Linked DNA regions of Arabidopsis thaliana. The protein of the gene in region 4 interacts with the protein of the main gene of each other region in a pairwise test. Each region holds a gene or a part of one and is shown on either strand. Other genes may lie near its edges. The genes, in order: AGP5, AT3G53980, AT2G19080 and AT5G42220.

Region 1 (3,368 bases), on a different chromosome or scaffold from region 4:
CTAACTATTTTAATCATGAACAATTATCTATATTTTTAGTATATATCATATATGGTTTATTTGTTTTAATTTGATTATGTTTTATGTTATTCATGTGAATAAAATTTTGGTATTGATTTCCTTAACAATAAATTATTATTTTATAAAGTCGGAATTTTCCACTTTATTGTTTCTTTACTTTATAAATCCTCTTCTTAAATCTGAAATTCGATCCATATTATTTGATTCGCTTATCATAAAAAAAATTGGCTTTTGTTACTTCATTTACGCGAACATTAGATCGTTCTTCGAAATGTCGTCACCTTTCTTTTGCTGACCTATAAGATTTCGTTTTTGGGTCAGCTTGTCATACTTATCGTTTCGTCTTTTAGTAGGTCTTCTTGGTAATACGTTACATCGTATATTATTGCTGTCTAGACTTTATCTCACGACTTCTTAGCATAATTGTTACTAATTTCTGTCTTCCCTTCTTAAAGTAGCTTTCTTGGTTACTTTTGAAGCTCTCTCAAAACAATAGAAGGTAGGAGACTTTTTCGTATCTTGACTAAATGTATATTCAAGATGTTCACTCTTGTTTTTACTGAAGCCTAACTGCCTAAATAGTTGACCACAAACATTGTATCGACGATACTAGAGTAACATTTGGTTCAAAATGTGTTGTTGAAATCGTTTTCGAAGAGACGTATTAACGACCTAAAGTAATGTATAAAAACTTGAGTTGAAAAGTCGAATTTGGTTCAACTTACAGTGGACTAACCCGAAAGTATTTTTTGTTACTTATATAATTATAGTTGTTCTAATTCGCTTGATGGTGGGACGGTTAATATATAATTGACACCAAACATATAAGAATTTTTGAAAAATTGCAATAACAACAAAGGCATTAGTTGCATACAATACAATGTTCAAATTATGCATTGAAAATTTGAAACAAATATACGTTAAATAGAACAGAGATCTTCTAAGAATAGTTGCAAGCCTTTAAATACTCCGACAAATCTGGCATTAGCCGAAAGATATTCCAAACTCAAAATCGGATCAGATAGTGTGGTGGTCTAATTTTACCTGGATCGGGAGATGTCCACTCTGTACCACCTTGATGCATTTTTACTGATACTGATCAGATCAACCGATATAATATATATATAAAAAAAGAAAGTTCGTCCAAAAGGAATCATTATTTTCTTAACCAATAGAATATAGGAAATAATAGGATAAATCTATATTAGTGGACAGGTAATAGAATGCTTTCATTCACATTGAAATCATATTGTAATAAGCACACTTTTCTTATCAAAAAAAAAAAGGCAAAAAGAAATGGCCACGCAATAAAATCATTAGGGTAAGTTGAATTTTGGTCCATAATATTATAAATTAATTTAATCTCGAAAGCTTAATCTTATGATCTCATGTGATCTTTATTGAATTTACTTACTTCCATAGAGTTTTGTATTTTGTCTAAGGAAAGAAAAAAAAAGTCTGCCAGCTTTGGAACGCCGCCCATTCCTCTAGACTTTCTTGGAAACAACGCGTTGTTCTTGTTGGGGTCGACGAAGACTCACTAAATCCATCCGACGACTCAGATTTTATCTTGGCTTCTTTTGATGTGTACACATATCCACCCTGATTTGATTCCCAAAGCCAAAAGCCTGAACAATGTAGTGTAGAAGAAGTGACGGGAAAAAACGGTAATGAATCCACAATGGATATTTACAGAAAGAAATAAAATTATATAGATTATAGAGAAGCAAAATTATGCAAATAATCTTTATTTAATACTATTAAAAGAGTAGCTGTTGGAAACTATAACAGGTAATTTAAAATATTTTACAAGTTCAACATATAATAATTTTGAAATTCAGTCCAACATAACTATCAGTATGGAAATAAGCCAAACAAATTACTCAAAATAAGAAATATGTTTTCACATTATTATTTAAACATTTTTAGTCATTTGTTTGGCTTATTTCCAAAACGATATTTATGTTGGACTTGTTTTCAAAAGTATTATGTTGAACTTGTAAAAAAAATTTATATAGCTGTTGAAATTTCCAAGAAAATAAGGTTTTACACCTAAACCCTTCCACTATATATATAAACCCCACTTTTGTCTCTATATCTTTACTAATTTCTTAAACCCTCTCAACAATACGTAACAATGGCCTCCAAATCCGTCGTCGTTTTCCTCTTCCTCGCTCTCGTGGCTTCCTCTGTCGTTGCTCAAGCTCCCGGACCAGCTCCGACCATATCTCCCTTGCCAGCCACTCCTACACCGTCTCAATCGCCTAGAGCCACCGCACCGGCACCTTCACCATCAGCCAATCCTCCTCCCTCAGCTCCTACCACTGCTCCTCCGGTTAGTCAGCCGCCTACTGAATCTCCACCAGCTCCTCCGACGTCTACTTCCCCATCCGGAGCTCCGGGCACAAATGTTCCGTCTGGAGAAGCTGGACCTGCTCAGTCTCCCCTAAGTGGCTCTCCAAACGCAGCTGCAGTTAGCAGAGTCTCCCTCGTCGGAACTTTCGCCGGAGTGGCCGTGATCGCCGCTTTGTTGCTGTAGAGGCTATTGACCCATCGAATAGATTCACTAGGAATTATTTTTGGGTTCATTGTTTGTCCTTTTGTTACTATTTAATTATGTAGTTTATAGTGTTTTATATGATGCTTTATTATCGTGTTATTGTTGGTGTTATATTTGTTACAATTTTTTTATAGTTTCCTTGATTATTGGCATTCTTGAATAATTCATGGTCACTTGAATAATTCATAGTTACTTGAATATTAACTTAAAATTAAAATTACATGCTAAATTGGTGGGTGGTGATGTTATTAAGATTTAAGAGTGGTTAATGAAAAGATTATGAAAGTGAAGTGATTAGCGACAACGTGTATATGCGTCTAGAATGGAGCATTTAATTTGTCGTGTGATGTAAGTTGATCGGTGTCGGACCGTTTCTTTTCTTCTTGTCTTCGTTTCCAATAAATATAGGTCAAGATCAAAACATTGACCCTTTCGTACTCGTTCGAGACTATAGTTTTAGAAATTGCAATGTAAATTAGTTTATTTTTGAAATTAATATAAGTATTTCATGATGATGGGAACTACGAAAAATAGAAAATACAATTACTGATATGAGTTAATTGAACCAATTATGATAACCATTTGTTGTATCTATGCCTTTGTTTAATTAAGCGTTAAATACAAACTAATACTGTATAATGTTTTTCTTGTTTACTACGTGAATTTTTTCATGCTTGTTCCAAGTTCGAAATACCATTTGTACAAATAAGAAGACAAGTCAAAGCAATGATTCTTGTGCTAGCTTTTTCACTGTACATGACATCCATATTTAACAAATAACAATCCT
Region 2 (3,376 bases), on a different chromosome or scaffold from region 4:
TGAAAATGACAATGGTAGGTTTTAGATTTAGCTTTAGCTATGGATTAGGTTTTAGGTTTAGCTTTAACTTTGAATTTTGTCTTTATTTCATAATTAAGAAAAAAACAAACATTTAAGATTGTGGTTACACCTTTGTTTTTAGCACACTTGTCTTTTTTTTTTTTTTTGAATAAACACTTGTCTTTGATTTATTCTTGATATTTTTAACGTAACAATTATCATTGGTAATCTTTTAGTGATGAATTCTTCTAAACTTTAATCTTTTGGTCTAAGTGAAATATCTAGTGACTAATAATTGAAAATAATGAAACAGGATAATAATGGGAAGCGTGAGCAGCTTTGTGATCCAACACGCGCCTTGCCCTGTCACCGTTGTCAAGGATAACGAATAAACGATTCTCACTACAAAAAAAAAAAAAAAAAAAAACTGTCTTTATCTTATAAGTCCTACCAAATAATCATCGCAATTTATGCTTTTTAGTTTTTATTAATAAAAGAATCTTTATGTTGGTTTTATTTGTAATTTGACTACAACAAAAAAAGAACCCAGAGTGTTTTCATCTTCTAGTTTTGAGAGTTTCTTGCTTATTTGTTTCATTTAATATTCCTTGTGTTTTGCTGGAATCACTCCATGTGATTTGCTTGAACATGTGGTGGGCTCGATTAAAAATAGTTTGTATATCCAATATATTGCTTAAAAATAAGTTTGTGGTACAGATTTCACATGGGCAGGTTGGATTCATTCACATTGATCATTGACTAAATATTAGAATATTTCTTAAGGAAAAATTCTACAGAAAGATATTTACATCAAATATTAATATTCTACTTTTTTTTTAATAAATAGATAGATCACCGTGGTAATTATATTTATTTATTTTGCACGATCCATTTCGAAATCTGATAAAACTTACTAGAAACAGAGACCCAAGACAAATCGTAGAAAGTTTAGAAGATCATCAAGACAGAAGAAGAAAAACAACAAAGTAAAGTGAAATATCAGAACCATGGGCCGAAGTTATACGGGCCGGTGGGATTGAAACCCAATTTCTAGTTTCAACGGAAACAGAGCAAAAACTTTATCAACATTACTAAGAACGCAATCCGCTTCTGTAACGAACCCAACTAAACCATTAACCGATTTTGTTTAGTCCTTGAATTTGATTTACCTTAGTTTATGCCAAACCCTCTGCCCAAATCTTGGTCTTTCAACACAATAGATAGACAGAGCCAGTCTCACAGTTGTCTGTCTCTCTTTGGTTTTCATCCTCTATGCTCTTTATACTTATGTAATTAACTTGTGGTACAAGGTTTTTGACTTGAATAAATTCGAGCTTCTTCTCAGAAGGTCTAACATATTCAATTCTCCTATAAGGCTAAAACACAGTGTTGGACCATCTTAGTGATACTAAGCATCCAAGATTCAAAGTTGTTAAATAGAGATCAAGAATGTTTCATCCGTTTCACTTCACATTAACCAATAATAATAAAAAAATCAATACAAAACTCATTTTTAATCTACCCCATTAGCACCATTTTAAAAGCCATAAGGACGGTGATGACACAACTCCCACAAATCCACCATCCGATTTGATAATCCCAAATAAGAATTATGAGGTTTGTTCAGTGATCCCTAAGACATCAACACCTGGAACTTATGTTGTTGGTAAGAACACTACCTCCCTCACTCAACTCAAGTGCTTATTCCACTATCTCTTCAGTGCCTCAAATTTCCACACAATTTTCCGCTATATAAACCAAACATTCACTAATTGAATTCAAACACACAACTAACAAACAAAAAAACACAAATCTTGGTTCATTTAAAATCTCTCCAAGAAACAAAATGGCAGCTTCCATGAAATTTCTCTGCATTCTTGGTCTGATTCTCCTCATCGGAACAGTCGTTGACGGTGCAGGGGAGTGTGGTAGATCTTCGCCAGACAATGAGGCGATGAAGCTGGCTCCATGTGCTGGTGCAGCTCAGGACGCTAACTCCGCCGTGCCAGGAGGTTGCTGTACTCAGATTAAGAGATTTTCTCAAAACCCTAAATGTCTCTGCGCCATTCTTCTTTCCGACACGGCCAAAGCCTCCGGTGTCGATCCTGAGGTTGCCCTTACCATCCCTAAACGGTGCAATTTCGCTAACCGTCCCGTCGGTTACAAGTGTGGAGGTAAGTGACTTTCTGTTACATCTTTATATTATGCTTTTACTTAATAATTTTCATGATATATCTAATGTTCTTTGTTTCTTTTTTTCCCTTTGGTTATAGCATACACACTTCCATAAAATGTTGACGATTAGAAGGATGAAGGAGATAACATTGGGCCTTATGTGGAAGCTTGGAGTTTACTACTACGTCTCCATGTACCTTATAATATATGAATAACGATAATGTTTATATGTGTATCAGTGTGATTGTTGTTATTGAACCTATATCAATAAATATATAAAAATGATTCCACTCTACATTTCAAATTACAGAAACACAAGTATCCAACTTTGTGCTTGAAAATTTGACATTGTTTAAACTAGTGTCGTTTTGGCAAACACTAGTACGACTTAGTTTACAAGTCAGATCTATCACCAATATATACTCATCTAACACGAAGCAATAAGAGATGATGCTATAGTTTTCAATTTCTCAAATATAGTCAAGCCATTGTCTATAATCTATATGACGACCGATTCTGACTTGGCCAACGGAAATTTAAAAGCGAAATAAACCAAGTCTTTATTTATATATTTATTGAAGTTATAAAAAGTGTGCTGGGGAATAAAACCAACAACACCACCAAACAAAAAAACAGCTGAGAAAAAACAAACCACATAGATCCTATTGTCTATATGTAGTTACTACCATACTTTAAGTTGTGCACACACTTTCTCTATTTCCTTGGCGATGGCTTTACTTTACTATATAAAATCTGAACCGCCGGGAAAATGCTCGAGGTCTGGATGCCCACCTCCTGGCCCTCTTGGAGGTTGTCTACACACGATTGATATAAAGAAGAATCAGAACCATTTGCGAAACAGATTATGATTGTGGAGTGTAGTAAGGAGACTACTGAGTGCATAAGATTACTACCTTGTGAACCGGCCTGGCTCAAAACCTGGAACACCGGGTGGACCATAAGGATCAAAACGCGCACCAGGAGGTGGCATACCCCTGTCAAAACCACAAACAAAAATCCATGGTAACTTGTCAGAAACAATTTAGAGAGCTTTTCATGTGTTCAAATCTATGGCTGTGTATCTCTATGTGTGTGTGAAAGAAAGAGTGATTTTACGGGTGTGGTGGTCCCATGAAGCCAGGTCGATCAGAACCATCACCAAATGGGAAAAAGCGAGGATCAGTAGGTCCTGCAACCAAAC
Region 3 (5,297 bases), on a different chromosome or scaffold from region 4:
CGAGACTCTTCGTGACCAAGAACTGTTGCCTCAGCTTCTTGAGCTCGTTGAAGGGTAACAACACCAACAACTTCTTTTTCCTTCTCTTCGGTTTCACTTTTAAGCCTCAGACTGACAAATGGTAATCATGATCATAACAGATTAACAAGGATGTGGAAAGTAATGGCGGAAAGTCACCAGATACAGAAACGAACACTAGACGAAGCCAAACTGTTACTTGCAGGCACACCGGTTTCAAAGCGTCACAAGAAGAGACAACCTCCAATAATGCCAGAGGCTATTAACTCTCAAAGATTAGCTCAATCTGCTTTGAATCTTGAAGCTCAGCTTCGAAACTGGAGAACCTGTTTTGAATTCTGGATCACCTCTCAGAGATCCTACATGAAAGCATTATCTGGTTGGCTTCTAAGATGTTTCAGATGTGATCCTGACCCCGAAAAAGTTAGATTATCCTCATGTCTTCACCCGATATACCGAGTCTGCATTCAATGGTCAAGGTTGCTTAACAGCTTGAATGAAAAACCAGTTTTGGACAAACTTGAGTTCTTTGCCTCAGGGATGGGTTCAATATATGCAAGGCAAGTTAGGGAAGATCCAAACTGGAGTGGAAGCGGGTCAAGGAGATACTCCGGGTCAGAAAGCATGGAGCTTGTAGTGGCTGATAAGGGAGAAGAAGATGTTGTGATGACTGCTGAGAAACTTGCAGAGGTTGCTGTGAAGGTTCTCTGCCATGGAATGTCTGTTGCAGTTAGTTCACTAGCTGAGTTTTCCATCAACTCGGCCGATGAACACTCGAAGCTTGTTAGCCAACCAGCAGACGATGCGTCGGAGCAGCAGCCCCCGGATGTAAATTTCAATTCCTAGTACTTGTTATTAATTTTGTTTGGTTTTAGAGAGTTTAGAATTAGGTAGGTTTTTGGCATCATCTTTTGCTATCAGAAGATAGTTTCTTAGATGGATGAGATTTGTATTATTTAGTAAGACAAATAGAGTTAGTTCAGTTGATTCTGAGGATGTGTACCAAGAGTCTTCTAATGTTCCTCGGTATTTTATCCGGTGAATCGGTTCCCATGATGTGCCTTAAAAACCAATGAAATTTATATAAAAGCCAAAAGCTCTCCTTCAGAACGAAAAGTCGAAAACCATTATAATGTGACTAAATCTCACATCTGTATCCTCTCCATAACTAAGAGTTCAAGAAGAAAAAAGCGTAGAGATTACTGGTTATGTTTTTATCTTAGTCTCAGAGAGTTCGCCTGAGAGTTACCGGTCCATTTAATAAGAAAAGCTTTAGTTTAGTCATCTTCATCTTCATACTCCAGTTCATCAGAACTACCTCCTCCCATCACTGATACGTAAATGACGACAGCTAGAAACTGAGCAGCTAGAAAGAACCTTGCTCTTTTCTTAAATTTTTTCTCCTCTTCGGTCTTTTCTACCTTTGGTTTGCTCTTTGGCTTCGAACCTGAACAAAAGATGAAATTCACTTCCTTCACAGGCTTAAACATATCCAATGAATGTTGCATATATGACAGATATATAATATGATGAAATATATATGATATGGACGTTGAAGGTTAGATGTGTCTTACTCTTTCTTGGAAATGAGGAAGGGAATGAGTGAAGTGGAGGTGAAGGAGATGAAGAAGAGGCTTCAAGGAACTCTGACTTAAGTTTCTCAGCATATCGCACAAGATTACTATGTTCCAGAAGTTTGCACCGAAGCACTGATGTAACCTGATCATGCACCATTAAGAAAACTACTTCATCTAAATAGTTCTAAGGCTAAATTCAACCTGATAAACCCATAACTGAGAAATATATTGGTGAAATTTAAAGCTGCTCACTGGTAACGCTTGGATTATAAAAAGTATGTGCGAGAGTAAGAAAGCATCCAAACTCGATGGCCTGTGGGAAGAGAATAATATAAACATTGTCAATCTTTTACAAAAAGGCTTAAGGGAAAGAATCCAGTTCCGGAATGTGATTGCAATACCTGTCTTCAAAGAGAAACTTCTGCTCACCTAACCTAGTCGACAAAGCTTCATATGCCTCACTTGCTCTCTTGTATATCTGTTCACATTTAAGACTATGAACTTTAATAACTAGTTCAAATGCTCACAAATATAAACCACAGGTCTTCTAAAGTAACAACAAAACTTAAACAAACCCGACCTGTTTTTCTCTTTGCTCTGCGTTCTCTTTGGTGATTCCTAAACGGTTCTTTGCCAAGTATGTCTGCTTATAAAACAGGACCTTGCTGATCACCCAAGGAAGATCTGAATAGTAGATTTTCGATGTAGATATCCCCTCGGTACCAACCCATATCTCATAGGTAAGCGCTTCTTCTAGCCAAGACACAATAAGAGCCTTCAAAGATAAATAATCCGAAAGAGACTGTAGCTGAGAGTCCAGATTAACAATCCCATCTTTCTTCAGTTTTTCAATTACTCCTCCATCTTCATTGTTATATGCAACATATGTATCACTTTCAAAGTACGGCAGTTCATCTATATTAAAAACAAATGATTAACATTGTCAATACACAAGCTTATAAATATTGAATGCACAAATTTGTAAATCCGTGAACAAAGGATTACGAAGTGTCTAGAGATATTATCAAACATAACATAGAAATTCTGAAGATATTGTTAATATACAAACTCAATAGCTAAATCAAACAACTAATTTCTTCTGAACAAGTATGAAACATCATCATTCTCTTCGAATTAACAATTACGATAACGAGGAATTCAACCAAAGCTATAACAAGAAATTATGATGAACACTTCCTATCCAGAAAAATTCACCAATGCATATATACACCTCAAAATTGAATTACTATTGCCTAAAAACCCTATCTAAACTCTGATTAACCTAAGAGCAGGATCTTAATAGTACGAATTCGAATCCAGAACTCAAAATTATCTTGTCTAGGATTCGAATCTCAATTCAAGCTAATAGAATTAACAATGTTCACTTCCAACAGATACACATCACGCAACCAAAACCTTAATCTAACAACAACCAAAATACGAAGCGAGGAATCAAAACAGAAGCAAACCTGAATCAGGGAAGGTTGAATTGAACGCAAGTTCAAAAGGTAGCTGGGCTAATTTCAGGTATATATAAGCAGGAAGACAATTAGGGCAAGCTGTTGGGAGATCGAAGGAAGGCTTCCTTGCCACCAAAGTATAAACATTCGTCTCTTGATCGCCTTCCATTATAGTGACTCGTATGTGTGAGAGCTCTGGTCAAAAGAAGAAGAAGTACTCAAGTAAGTTCGATCGTCGATAGAGAGAGATGGGGCGAGAAGAGAAGATCCAGTCGAGTCCGGGTCTGGGTTAAGGTTTAGTCGGTCGGGTTTAAAACTAGGGTTTATTAATACGATAACTCATTTTGGGCTTTAAAAGGCCCACAAATTACCCATTAAGACAAAACTACTGGAGGAGGAGACTCGGAGAAAGTGGAATTGTTTTCTCCTTTTTGTTAGTTTGTAAAAACTAAAATTACTGTGTAACAGTGTAAAATACATCATCCACATTTTTTTTCTTCAAGATGACTTTATAAAAATAAACTCAACTTAAATTCAGAAGATATAATCAAAACTGGCGATGTGGGCTTTTGAATTTAATGCTATGAAGTTAGTATTTTGGATTTACCATTTCTTTTTAGAGTTTATGATATATACTTAAGGATTTAGTTTAGAATTTATACTTTGGAATATACTTGCATAAAAAAGTATAACACATTCCCTAATAGTGATATGAATTTTATGTTATATGTTCTTACCTCGTTTTTTTTCATTTTTTCGTGGAAATATATATTCATCCACAATGTGAACAAAATAGAGAAGAAGGGTAATACGCGTGATCATATACAACCAACAAAACTAAACCTTATTCTCACTTCCACTAATTAAGCTGCTTCGAAGGAAACAAACTAAACCACGAGAAAAACATTTTTGAATTTTGACTAACAGCAAGAAAAATTCGTTGAATCCATATGATTCTGTGTACTATATAAACATTACTTTAGCACGAACTTCAAAAAGAGAAGAGAAAAAGAAAGGGGGTTTGTGTTATGGCTCCCATAACTTTTAGAAAATCTTACACTATAGTACCGGCCGAACCAACGTGGAGCGGTAGGTTTCCCTTAGCCGAGTGGGATCAAGTTGGTACAATTACTCACATTCCCACCCTTTACTTTTACGACAAGCCATCTGAATCTTTCCAAGGCAATGTAGTCGAAATCCTAAAAACCTCGTTGAGCCGTGTGCTAGTCCATTTTTACCCTATGGCTGGCCGTCTCAGATGGCTCCCTCGGGGACGGTTCGAGCTCAATTGTAACGCCGAGGGAGTGGAATTCATTGAAGCGGAATCTGAGGGGAAGCTTTCGGATTTCAAAGACTTCTCTCCTACGCCGGAATTCGAGAATCTTATGCCGCAAGTAAACTATAAAAACCCTATCGAAACGATTCCTCTATTTTTAGCTCAGGTAACCAAATTCAAATGCGGTGGAATAAGCCTTAGCGTCAACGTTTCCCACGCGATCGTAGATGGCCAAAGCGCGCTTCACTTAATATCGGAATGGGGAAGACTCGCGCGCGGTGAACCGTTAGAAACCGTTCCATTTCTAGACCGGAAAATCCTCTGGGCTGGTGAACCGCTCCCACCGTTTGTGTCGCCCCCAAAGTTCGACCACAAAGAGTTTGATCAGCCACCGTTTTTGATCGGAGAAACGGACAATGTAGAAGAGAGAAAGAAGAAAACGATTGTGGTGATGCTACCACTGAGCACATCTCAGCTGCAGAAGCTACGAAGTAAAGCCAACGGAAGCAAACACTCTGACCCGGCGAAAGGGTTTACAAGGTACGAGACCGTCACCGGACACGTGTGGAGGTGCGCGTGTAAAGCACGTGGCCACTCTCCGGAGCAACCAACGGCTCTAGGAATCTGTATAGATACTCGTAGTCGGATGGAGCCACCTCTGCCACGCGGCTACTTCGGCAATGCTACTCTTGACGTGGTCGCAGCAAGCACCTCAGGTACGTGTTTTTTCTTTCTTTTCTATTACTATCCATAGAAATTTTGTTTGTTTTGTGAATTTGAATACACTTCTTCAAAATTTAATTTAGTCCTCTAAACAAAAATTATGATTTTGTTCATTACTTTTATATTCCAATTATATATATTATTTATTTATTAATTTTTTTCAATTCAAAAATATTACAAAATATTGTAATTTGTTTATCTTAGAATTCGTGTCAAAAGACCGTCAAAACGACTCTTTTATGA
Region 4 (8,263 bases):
TTTAATTTCCCAGGGTTCAGTATAATGTGTGCGGGATTTGCCATGGTAATATACTTTATGTTTTTGCATTTTCTACTGAAATTCACTCAAGTTAGCCTCCATGAAACTATACAAATAAATGTCCGGTTAAACCAAGAAAGGAACGTTATCCTTTTAATTAGTTTTTACTTTCTTAGTTTTCATACTCTTATCTAATTCACAACGAATGCTGTTGTTGGTTGTGCAAAAAGGAAACTTTAAATCTTATCTAATTTCCCATGAAAAATCACTAACTCATTCAGTTCTTTTTTTTTTGGTTTAACATTTAGTTATATGACAATGTATGTGAAACATATAAACCTTTTAATTGATTCCTCAAAGTTATATGAGTTGTTCGATTACTAAGAAAAATAATATATATAATGTCCGTTACTTTGTTTTTCTTTGTAGACTATAGCTTTCATCCAAAGCCTGATGATCAGAGCAGCAACACCAATATCAGTTATGGGATCTCCATAACACAGTTTCCTCAAAACCATATGGATTTCGTAGTGAAAGATAATATACAGGTTTTAATTGCATTGGTCGAATCCTTGATGTTTTTTTTTAACCCATATTGTGTACGGGTTTATGATATCTAAAGTCAGCAAGACACCAATAGCTTGTATAGGTTAGTCAATAACTCCTAGGGGAAACACCATATTTAATGGCCGTTTCAGTTAATTTAGATATCTTCTTTCTTTTTTTGAGTTCAAAGTTAGTTTAGTTGTCTAAAGCAACAAAATAGCTCCAATATTTGTATCATTAAATTTATTTATATACATCATAATTATTTTTGTATATATAGACATAATTGAAACATGTTTTATTATAATCTATATATACATTTTTGCAGCCATTTTGTGAAATAAATCCTTTAGTTGTGACTTATTTACAATGGCTGCCACTGGATTTTAATGTTTGTTTTTGATAATTAAAAAGAAAATATTCGAATTAAATATTTGACATTTAACAATCTTCCCAAAATATCTCCACATTAACTACACGATTATTTACTAAAATAATACTTCCAAAATATTTAATATCATTTAATTACTACAAAATTATCATTTTTGATATTGATTTTCTCCATAACTATAACAATTCGATTATAATCATCAAAGCGCAGAGATATAATCTGATAGCATTTAATTACTACAAAATTACAAAATATTTAGACAATGATTCATAAACATATCATAAATAAGATCAACATTAATAAAATAAATAGTTTTTTTTTTACAGGACGGGTTTGACAGGACGATACTTAATAACATTTGTAAACTATAAAATAAAATTATTTTATAGATAGATACAATTTGTAAACTTTTATATATACTAACTTTAAAAAATAAATTGTTCCCGCGGTATACCACAGGTTAAAATCTAGTTGTTTTTGTATTTTAACTAATAATGTGGACTAAACTTTAGGTGGAATACCTTTAGTTAACGGATCCGCTTTCATGAAATTTCTACCTATATGCTTAACTGAAACCACATCATCTTGAATCCTTTCTCACACAATATGACACTCTATGTCTATATGCTTTGATTGTTCTACTTTTGTTGTTGTTTGCATATACACTGCCGCAAAATTGTCAGACTAAACTTTAAATGATCTTTCGACACATAACCAACATGTAGTGTTTTTCACAGACTGTTCAAACCTAATGAATATAGTGTTTTCCCTAACCTAATGGCCGGTGTATTCTACAATTTTGAAAGATTTGCCTGAGTGACAATAAAAAAATCTCAAGCTTGTTTCTATCTCTAATCTCTTATACTGCAAATGTTAGAACGAATACTTTGGCACGAAAAATTCGTACTGAATCGCTTCATATATGTAAACAATTTTTTCTAAAGTTGACTCATTTGAACATTAATATAATTTGATGACAAAAAATAATAAAATAATAACCATTATTAACGACAACAATAACATAGATTCGTTTCAGTTATATGTAAACCATAATCTTCATGATTAATCCAGTTATGTGTAAACTTAAATACTTAAATATTAGAAATCAAAATTACATAATAAAACAGAAAAAGAAGCACATGTTTAAAATTTATTTTAGATATGGTTAAAAAGGCCAGGCCCAGCTTTATATTATTAATAGAAGAGTCCACATTTAGAGCGGAGACTAGGCCTATATTCGCGGAAGCGTCAATTCAGGTTTTCAAAACGTCGTCGTTGTATCTTCCTCCTCTAGATTCTTCTTTTTCTTTTCAATTTCACCAAAATCCCGAGTTCCCGACACAATCGCCCTTGTTCTTCCCCTTTAACTCTGAACACATCAGGTTTGGTTTCGTGTTTCAACTTTGAGATACTTCTCTAGATTTCAATCGGAGAGTCTTTTGTTCCGCCAAAGTTTCAATTTTTCAATACCCCACGACGGCAAATAGGTTCGTTCTTCGTTGCCTTCATGGAATTTGATTGTTTTTTTCTTAAATCTTGATCCTTTTTTTCCGTATCTATAGGCTCTGTTTTTGCCTTAGCAGATTTGTTTTTGGGTTTGGACGGTGAAAGTTTTGATTTTTGAACAGTGATATTACAATGACTTGCATTTATTTGGGTCTGGGTCTTTTGTTTGTGGCTTTGGATGGTGAAAGTTTTTGATTTTTAGCATTTTTATTACAATGACTTGCATATATATAGGATTTGGTCTTTTGTTACAATGACTAGCATTTAGTTATGTCATTTGTTTGTGTCTCATTGTTGATTCTGTTTTGTATGATCAATATCTGGAAATGTGTGTGGTAAAGGTTTTGATTTGAGTACCCTAGAGATAATATTGTTTATTATGAGATCATTCTTTTGTAAGATGAATTTACAAGCTTTATGTTTTTTAAATTTTAATACTTTAGGGTTCATGGAAGATCAACCCATTAACCAGTGCTCTAGTAGCACCAATGCGTCGGAGAAAACTCCAGAATCAACCCTTGAGCTTAACATCAAAACGTTAGACTCGCGGACGTATACTTTCCAAGTGAACAAGAATGTAAGAAATCTTCTTCTTCTTCTGCTTCACCTGCATATTTGCTTAAGTTTAGTTTGCTTATATCTGATACTGCTTAGGGCTTGACTTGTTGCAGGAAACTGTTTTGCTATTCAAGGAGAAGATTGCTAGTGAGACAGGGGTGCCGGTTGGTCAGCAGCGGCTCATTTTCCGAGGACGGGTTTTGAAAGATGATCATCCTCTCTCGGAGTATCGTATCCTAGTGCTAGCGACTTTGTTAACTTGTTGATTTTATGTTATAGTGTAGCTGTTTGTTGCATTATGCCATGTGCCCTGTGTATAAAATGCATGTTAACCAAATCTGTCGGAAGTCTAGTTTTTGATTGATCAAGTGCATCTCTGCTTTTGTGAGTCTTACACCGTAGAGGAAGCTGTAATCCAGAAAGAGAACTATATATATATATATACCTTCGATAAGCTTAGTTTTAGTTTATGTCTGTCGTTTCCTTCCATCGCTTTTCTACTTTCAGTATAGTTGATAACTTGACATCGTCATAGATTTGGAAAATGGGCATACTTTACACTTGATTGTGAGGCAGCCAGCAGAATCAGCTCCTTCCTCTGGTACACCTTCACAAGGGGCAACTGCAAATGATGGTAATCAAGTTATTTTTTATCCCCTTTCTGAGTTTTAAAAGAGCTGTTAACACAACCATCATCTTATTTCAACTTGTTATTTAATTCAACAGGAAATAATACAAATGGTGGACCATCTCGAAATGGAAGACATGTCTCCCACAGCGTAGTTCTTGGGTCTTTTAATGTTGGAGATCAGACAGAAGGCATTGTTCCAGACCTCAGCCGGGTAATCCCCAAGGATTTGTGATATTGTTTGGCCTATGGGATGGTTTGATTAGTTAGGCTAACCTGCTTTTAATTTTGTGTTGCTAACTACTAAGGTCATTGGAGCAGTTCTAAATTCTTTTGGAGTTAGTGGACAGCTTCCTACAAATCACAGTACTAATGGCACGCAATCCTCTATGCCCGTGAGTTTTTTTCTCGTCACTCTCTATTTCGAATTTATTCCATATTAGTGCTTAGTCTACATTAAGGATTGTTGAGAATCAGGTGTTGTTACTATTTGATGTGTAAGGTTTCATATTGTCATCAACTATTGCCTGTTTCTAAACTCGATGTTGCATGCGCTTTTATTTTTCCTAGTCGAATCAGTCGTCTAATGCACCTCCTGGAAATACATCTGATGGAGAGCCTGGCATTGGTGGTCAAAGCCAAGCTACGGGTCATTCACAACCTAGGCAAGCATTTCCTGGTGTATCATTTCAAACATCGATGCCTCGTGTAGTTCAGATTCCTGTTACAGCAGCCACAACGATTCCTATCCCTTCATTCTTAACGGTAGTTCTTAGTCACGTAGTAGTATTTTGATCTTGAGACTAGAGCTTTAATCTTGTCATTTTACAATGTAACTCTCTAATTCTGCAGCCTATTCCGGATTCCTTAGACACTCTAATGGAGTTCATTAATCGGATGGAGCAGGCATTATCACAAAATGGTATTGTGATCTAAGTTTTATTGTCATATTGGATAGAGAACACATAAATAAGTTAATTGGATGTTCCTCCAGGCTATCAGCCAGATACCTCTTCTGCTGGATCCGGAGGGCGACCAAGGGAAGAGTTGCCTAGAAATAGACGAGGTGCAGCAACACCTGAAGCACTCTCTGTTGTCCTAAGGAATGCACAACATTTACTGAGTGGTCTCGGTGTCTCTTCTTTATCGGTAAACACCTTCTTCACACTGCTTATTAATTGATTCCATTCTTTCTCTTTACAAGAACTGTTATGTATATGGTTACCATGCATTGTCATCTAATTATGTGCTGTTTGTAATTTGCAAAAACATTGTTGTAGCATATTGCGGGACGTCTGGAGCAAGATGGTTCATCTTCAGATCCTACTCTAAGGTCACAAATCCAGACAGAGGCCGTGCAAGTAGGTCTTGCCATGCAACATTTAGGGGCCCTCCTACTGGAGCTTGGACGCACAATTTTGACATTGAGAATGGCACCGTCGCCGGTGCGTTTTGGGTCATTCCTTTCGTGCATTTTCCTATTCATTCTTGACATGCGGCTCATTAACACTTTGATCTACAGGAATTATCCTATGTGAATGCAGGGCCTGCTGTGTATATATCTCCATCAGGACCGAATCCTATTATGGTTCAGGTAAGCTTCTAGTCTCATCTTTTTTCTAAATTAATTTTCTACTTTTATGTAATTATTACTGTATTTTGCAGCCTTTTCCTCACCAAATCAGCCCTCTCTTTACTGGTGCTACTGTCTCATCAAATCCACTAACCGGACCTGTTGGTTTAGGAACTGCCCAAAGGCACATTAATATTCACATACATGCTGGTGGGTGAAGTTCACTTTTTTGCTATTGGACTTAGCTGCACAATTCTTCTCCATTAAAATTCATACTTAATTACCAGGCACATCAGGTTCACCTATGTTGTCATCAGTTGGGAACCAGCGAAGCAATGGAGAAGGAGGACAAGGAGACCGTGACAGCAATACAAGTTCAGTTCCTGCGGCTGTTCCATCACACTCTACCGGTGAGAACGTTTCTGCTGGGGTTCAACCTGGTTTGGGTGATGATGTTTCAGTTGCTCAAATCAATGCAAGGATAAGAGATATGGTAAACATTATGCAAGGAAGAGACCAGATTCCATCGGGTAGGTTTCCTGCTGACTAAAGTTTTACATTGTGGACGAAATGTTTTCAAGCTCTTCTTCACGTGTCAATCAGGAATAGAATCTCTCGAGAGGGATATGTCTACGGGCCATGGTGTTGCCACTGCTATGCCTGAGCAGCCTACCAACATTGCAACTACTTGCGCACCTGAGTCGTCTAGTGGCTCACTGCATGACTTACCATCTGAGAGGAGCAACTCAGTGGTATGTCTTCTCTGCAATCAGATGATTCTTTATTTTATGTTCACCAGGGTTAGCCTACCACTAATTTTTGTTTTTTCAACCAGTGTCAAAATGAAAAAGATCTTGGTGGAGATTTAGAGCATCCAGCCCGAGCAAAAGATACCTCTTGTACTACAGGACAATCATCAGCTCCGTCTGGAGATGCTACCGGTGATGCCAAAGAAACCAATAAGGCTACTCCAGAGGTAGCTACAGCTACACCACTTGGATTGGGGCTTGGCGGTTTAGACCGTAAGGTAATGAATCAGTTGAAAAATAAGCGTCAAGTTGCTGCTGCTTGTTTTTCATTGCATAGCATATCCACAAGTGTCATAGTTCCAAATGCTTACAGTCATAGTATGTTTTTTTTGGTTAAAGAAACGAAGCAAGCAGCCGAAGGTATCAGGTAAGACTGAAGATAGCGGGACTTCAGCTACACTTGAAGGTGTGCAACAAAGCAGTGGGACCAGTGGTCAGCAGCTTTTGCAATCTCTCTTTTCTGGTAGTTCTCGTTCAGATGAGACTGGTCTTAGACGCGGGCAAGGTTCAGATGATCGTGTAGATGTCTCAAGTGCAATGTCTCAGGTCCTGGAGAGCCCTGTATTGGATGGATTGCTAGCAGGGGTATCTCGACAAGCTGGTGTTGATTCACCAAATATGCTGAGAAATATGCTCCAGCAGTTTACCCAGAATCCACAGATCATGAACACAGTCCAACAGATTGCGCAACAGGTGGATGGGCAAGAGATAGAAAATATGATGTCAGGTGGAGCTCAAGGCGAGGGCGGCGGCTTTGATTTCTCTAGAATGGTCCAACAAATGATGCCTCTAGTCTCACGTGCTTTTAGCCAAGGAGGGCCATTGCCTCATCCCGCAACAATACAGCCTGATGATCGTCAACCTTCTCAGGTACATCTACGAGTGTTAGGTTTGGATTTCTTGCGTTTTTGATTTAGGAAAAAAATGTGGCTGAAGAAAAACTGATACTATTATCGACTGAGTAGGATTTTGTTGTTGTCTTTTTTTAGTTGTAGAAAAAGTAACACCATTCTTACCTAGGTATTACAATAAACGTCATTGTCTCTTGTTCTATCTCGTGTAATGAATGTTATTTTTCTACTTTTTCCAAATAGGTAAATGTTCAATCCATGGCTCAAATGATTGAGCACTCTGATCCACCAGAGGATGTCTTCCGTGCAATGGTCGAAAATGCTGCGATAAGCCAAGACGAACTAGTGAACGAGCTTTGCTGTGATGAAGCTCTTTCTCAAGTAAGCATCAAAACTGACTAGTTTGTTTGTTTAATAAAAATAAAGACTCCTTGATCAGACTTGTATTTGAGTGTTGCAGGAATATGCGGAGTTGCTAAGACGTGATATCGAAGGCCGGCTAAAAGATGATCAAGGTCTATAAGATATTTGGTTGAATTGGTTCTGTAAGTGTCATATCTTTGAAGTATCTTTGTTTATTTGCTGAGATCCCTCACTTATGTATTAAGAATTAGGGTTTGGGATGGTCTATACTCTGCTAAACATAAGCAAACGTAATTTATCTGGTCTCTAAAGGGCCGATTCAATTTGATATTTCCATCTTTAACCAGAGATTACTCATAACTCTCGACATTGACCAAATTACTTGGGAAAAAGGTGTCCCTTTATAACTGACAATTTTGGTTTTGATCGAAAATTTGGCTAAAGGGCTACACTAACGAGTGACTGTAGCAAATTATATATTTAGTTTAATTCCTTAACAAATAGGTAATAAAGATTGCACAATAAATATGGAATGTAAACTAATAAATAGTAGAATAATTCAGAAAAATGAACTGTCACGACAACCCCAATAATAAGATGTTATATATTATTTAATTTTTATAAAAAATTATATATTATAAAATTTACTATGAATTTTTAATATGTTTAAAATTACAAAGTTGTTGTGTTTGTTTTGTTGTACAAATTTATAATTTTGGATTATGACAAATTAATAATATTGTTTTATTTTATATTTAATTTCTAAAAGATTATTAAAATTTGTTTTATGGTTTTACGTATTCAAGGGTTGTGAACAATTGATCACCACCGGAAAAATTAAGGATGACGACAAAATTGAACTAAAACATCATGGGTTCAGAGATTTTCAAGATCAGCGAGCCATGACTTAGCGACATCGGAGATCATGAACATTCCTAAGACAAGCTGTCTTTTGTGATGAGTTTTGCAAATAATTGTTTCATCGCTAATTTTTCTTACTTATGACTTTTCTAGAGTGAAAAAGACTAAATTTTTAAT

The links.
Region 1: the proteins of AT5G42220 (region 4) and AGP5 interact in a two-hybrid assay, tested with the Arabidopsis thaliana proteins (one large-scale study listed by BioGRID).
Region 2: the proteins of AT5G42220 (region 4) and AT3G53980 interact in a two-hybrid assay, tested with the Arabidopsis thaliana proteins (one large-scale study listed by BioGRID).
Region 3: the proteins of AT5G42220 (region 4) and AT2G19080 interact in a two-hybrid assay, tested with the Arabidopsis thaliana proteins (one large-scale study listed by BioGRID).

What each region holds. Positions count from the first base shown.
Region 1 is NC_003070.9:12,915,026-12,918,393, forward strand, and holds AGP5 (arabinogalactan protein 5), read left to right. Parts: upstream 1-2,044; 5' UTR 2,045-2,158; coding exon 2,159-2,560; 3' UTR 2,561-2,804; downstream 2,805-3,368. UniProt on the Arabidopsis thaliana protein: Proteoglycan that seems to be implicated in diverse developmental roles such as differentiation, cell-cell recognition, embryogenesis and programmed cell death.
Region 2 is NC_003074.8:19,986,674-19,990,049, reverse strand, and holds AT3G53980 (Bifunctional inhibitor/lipid-transfer protein/seed storage 2S albumin superfamily protein), read left to right. Parts: upstream 1-1,586; 5' UTR 1,587-1,846; coding exon 1,847-2,174; intron 2,175-2,273; coding exon 2,274-2,290; 3' UTR 2,291-2,488; downstream 2,489-3,376. Other genes in the region: AT3G53990 (Adenine nucleotide alpha hydrolases-like superfamily protein), read left to right, coding at 314-392; AT3G53970 (proteasome inhibitor-like protein), read right to left, coding at 2,918-2,990, 3,090-3,170, 3,292-3,364.
Region 3 is NC_003071.7:8,260,745-8,266,041, reverse strand, and holds AT2G19080 (metaxin-like protein), read right to left. Parts: upstream 3,343-5,297; 5' UTR 3,225-3,342; coding exon 3,065-3,224; intron 2,511-3,064; coding exon 2,176-2,510; intron 2,074-2,175; coding exon 1,997-2,073; intron 1,909-1,996; coding exon 1,848-1,908; coding exon of another isoform or gene 1,770-1,847; exon of another isoform or gene 1,738-1,769; coding exon 1,593-1,737; intron 1,466-1,592; coding exon 1,296-1,465; 3' UTR 904-1,295; downstream 1-903. Other genes in the region: AT2G19090 (DUF630 family protein (DUF630 and DUF632)), read left to right, coding at 1-54, 141-864; SHT (spermidine hydroxycinnamoyl transferase), read left to right, coding at 4,084-5,047. UniProt on the Arabidopsis thaliana protein: Involved in transport of proteins into the mitochondrion.
Region 4 is NC_003076.8:16,870,071-16,878,333, forward strand, and holds the start of AT5G42220 (Ubiquitin-like superfamily protein), read left to right. Parts: upstream 1-2,167; 5' UTR 2,168-2,424; intron 2,425-2,886; 5' UTR 2,887-2,891; coding exon 2,892-3,020; intron 3,021-3,114; coding exon 3,115-3,232; intron 3,233-3,536; coding exon 3,537-3,635; intron 3,636-3,727; coding exon 3,728-3,843; intron 3,844-3,937; coding exon 3,938-4,024; intron 4,025-4,199; coding exon 4,200-4,394; intron 4,395-4,481; coding exon 4,482-4,551; intron 4,552-4,623; coding exon 4,624-4,778; intron 4,779-4,909; coding exon 4,910-5,074; intron 5,075-5,151; coding exon 5,152-5,223; intron 5,224-5,294; coding exon 5,295-5,412; intron 5,413-5,489; coding exon 5,490-5,732; intron 5,733-5,805; coding exon 5,806-5,954; intron 5,955-6,037; coding exon 6,038-6,229; intron 6,230-6,350; coding exon 6,351-6,881; intron 6,882-7,105; coding exon 7,106-7,243; intron 7,244-7,322; coding exon 7,323-7,385; 3' UTR 7,386-7,407; exon of another isoform or gene 7,408-7,662; intron 7,663-8,031; and 1 more. Other genes in the region: AT5G42210 (Major facilitator superfamily protein), read left to right, coding at 1-45, 430-498.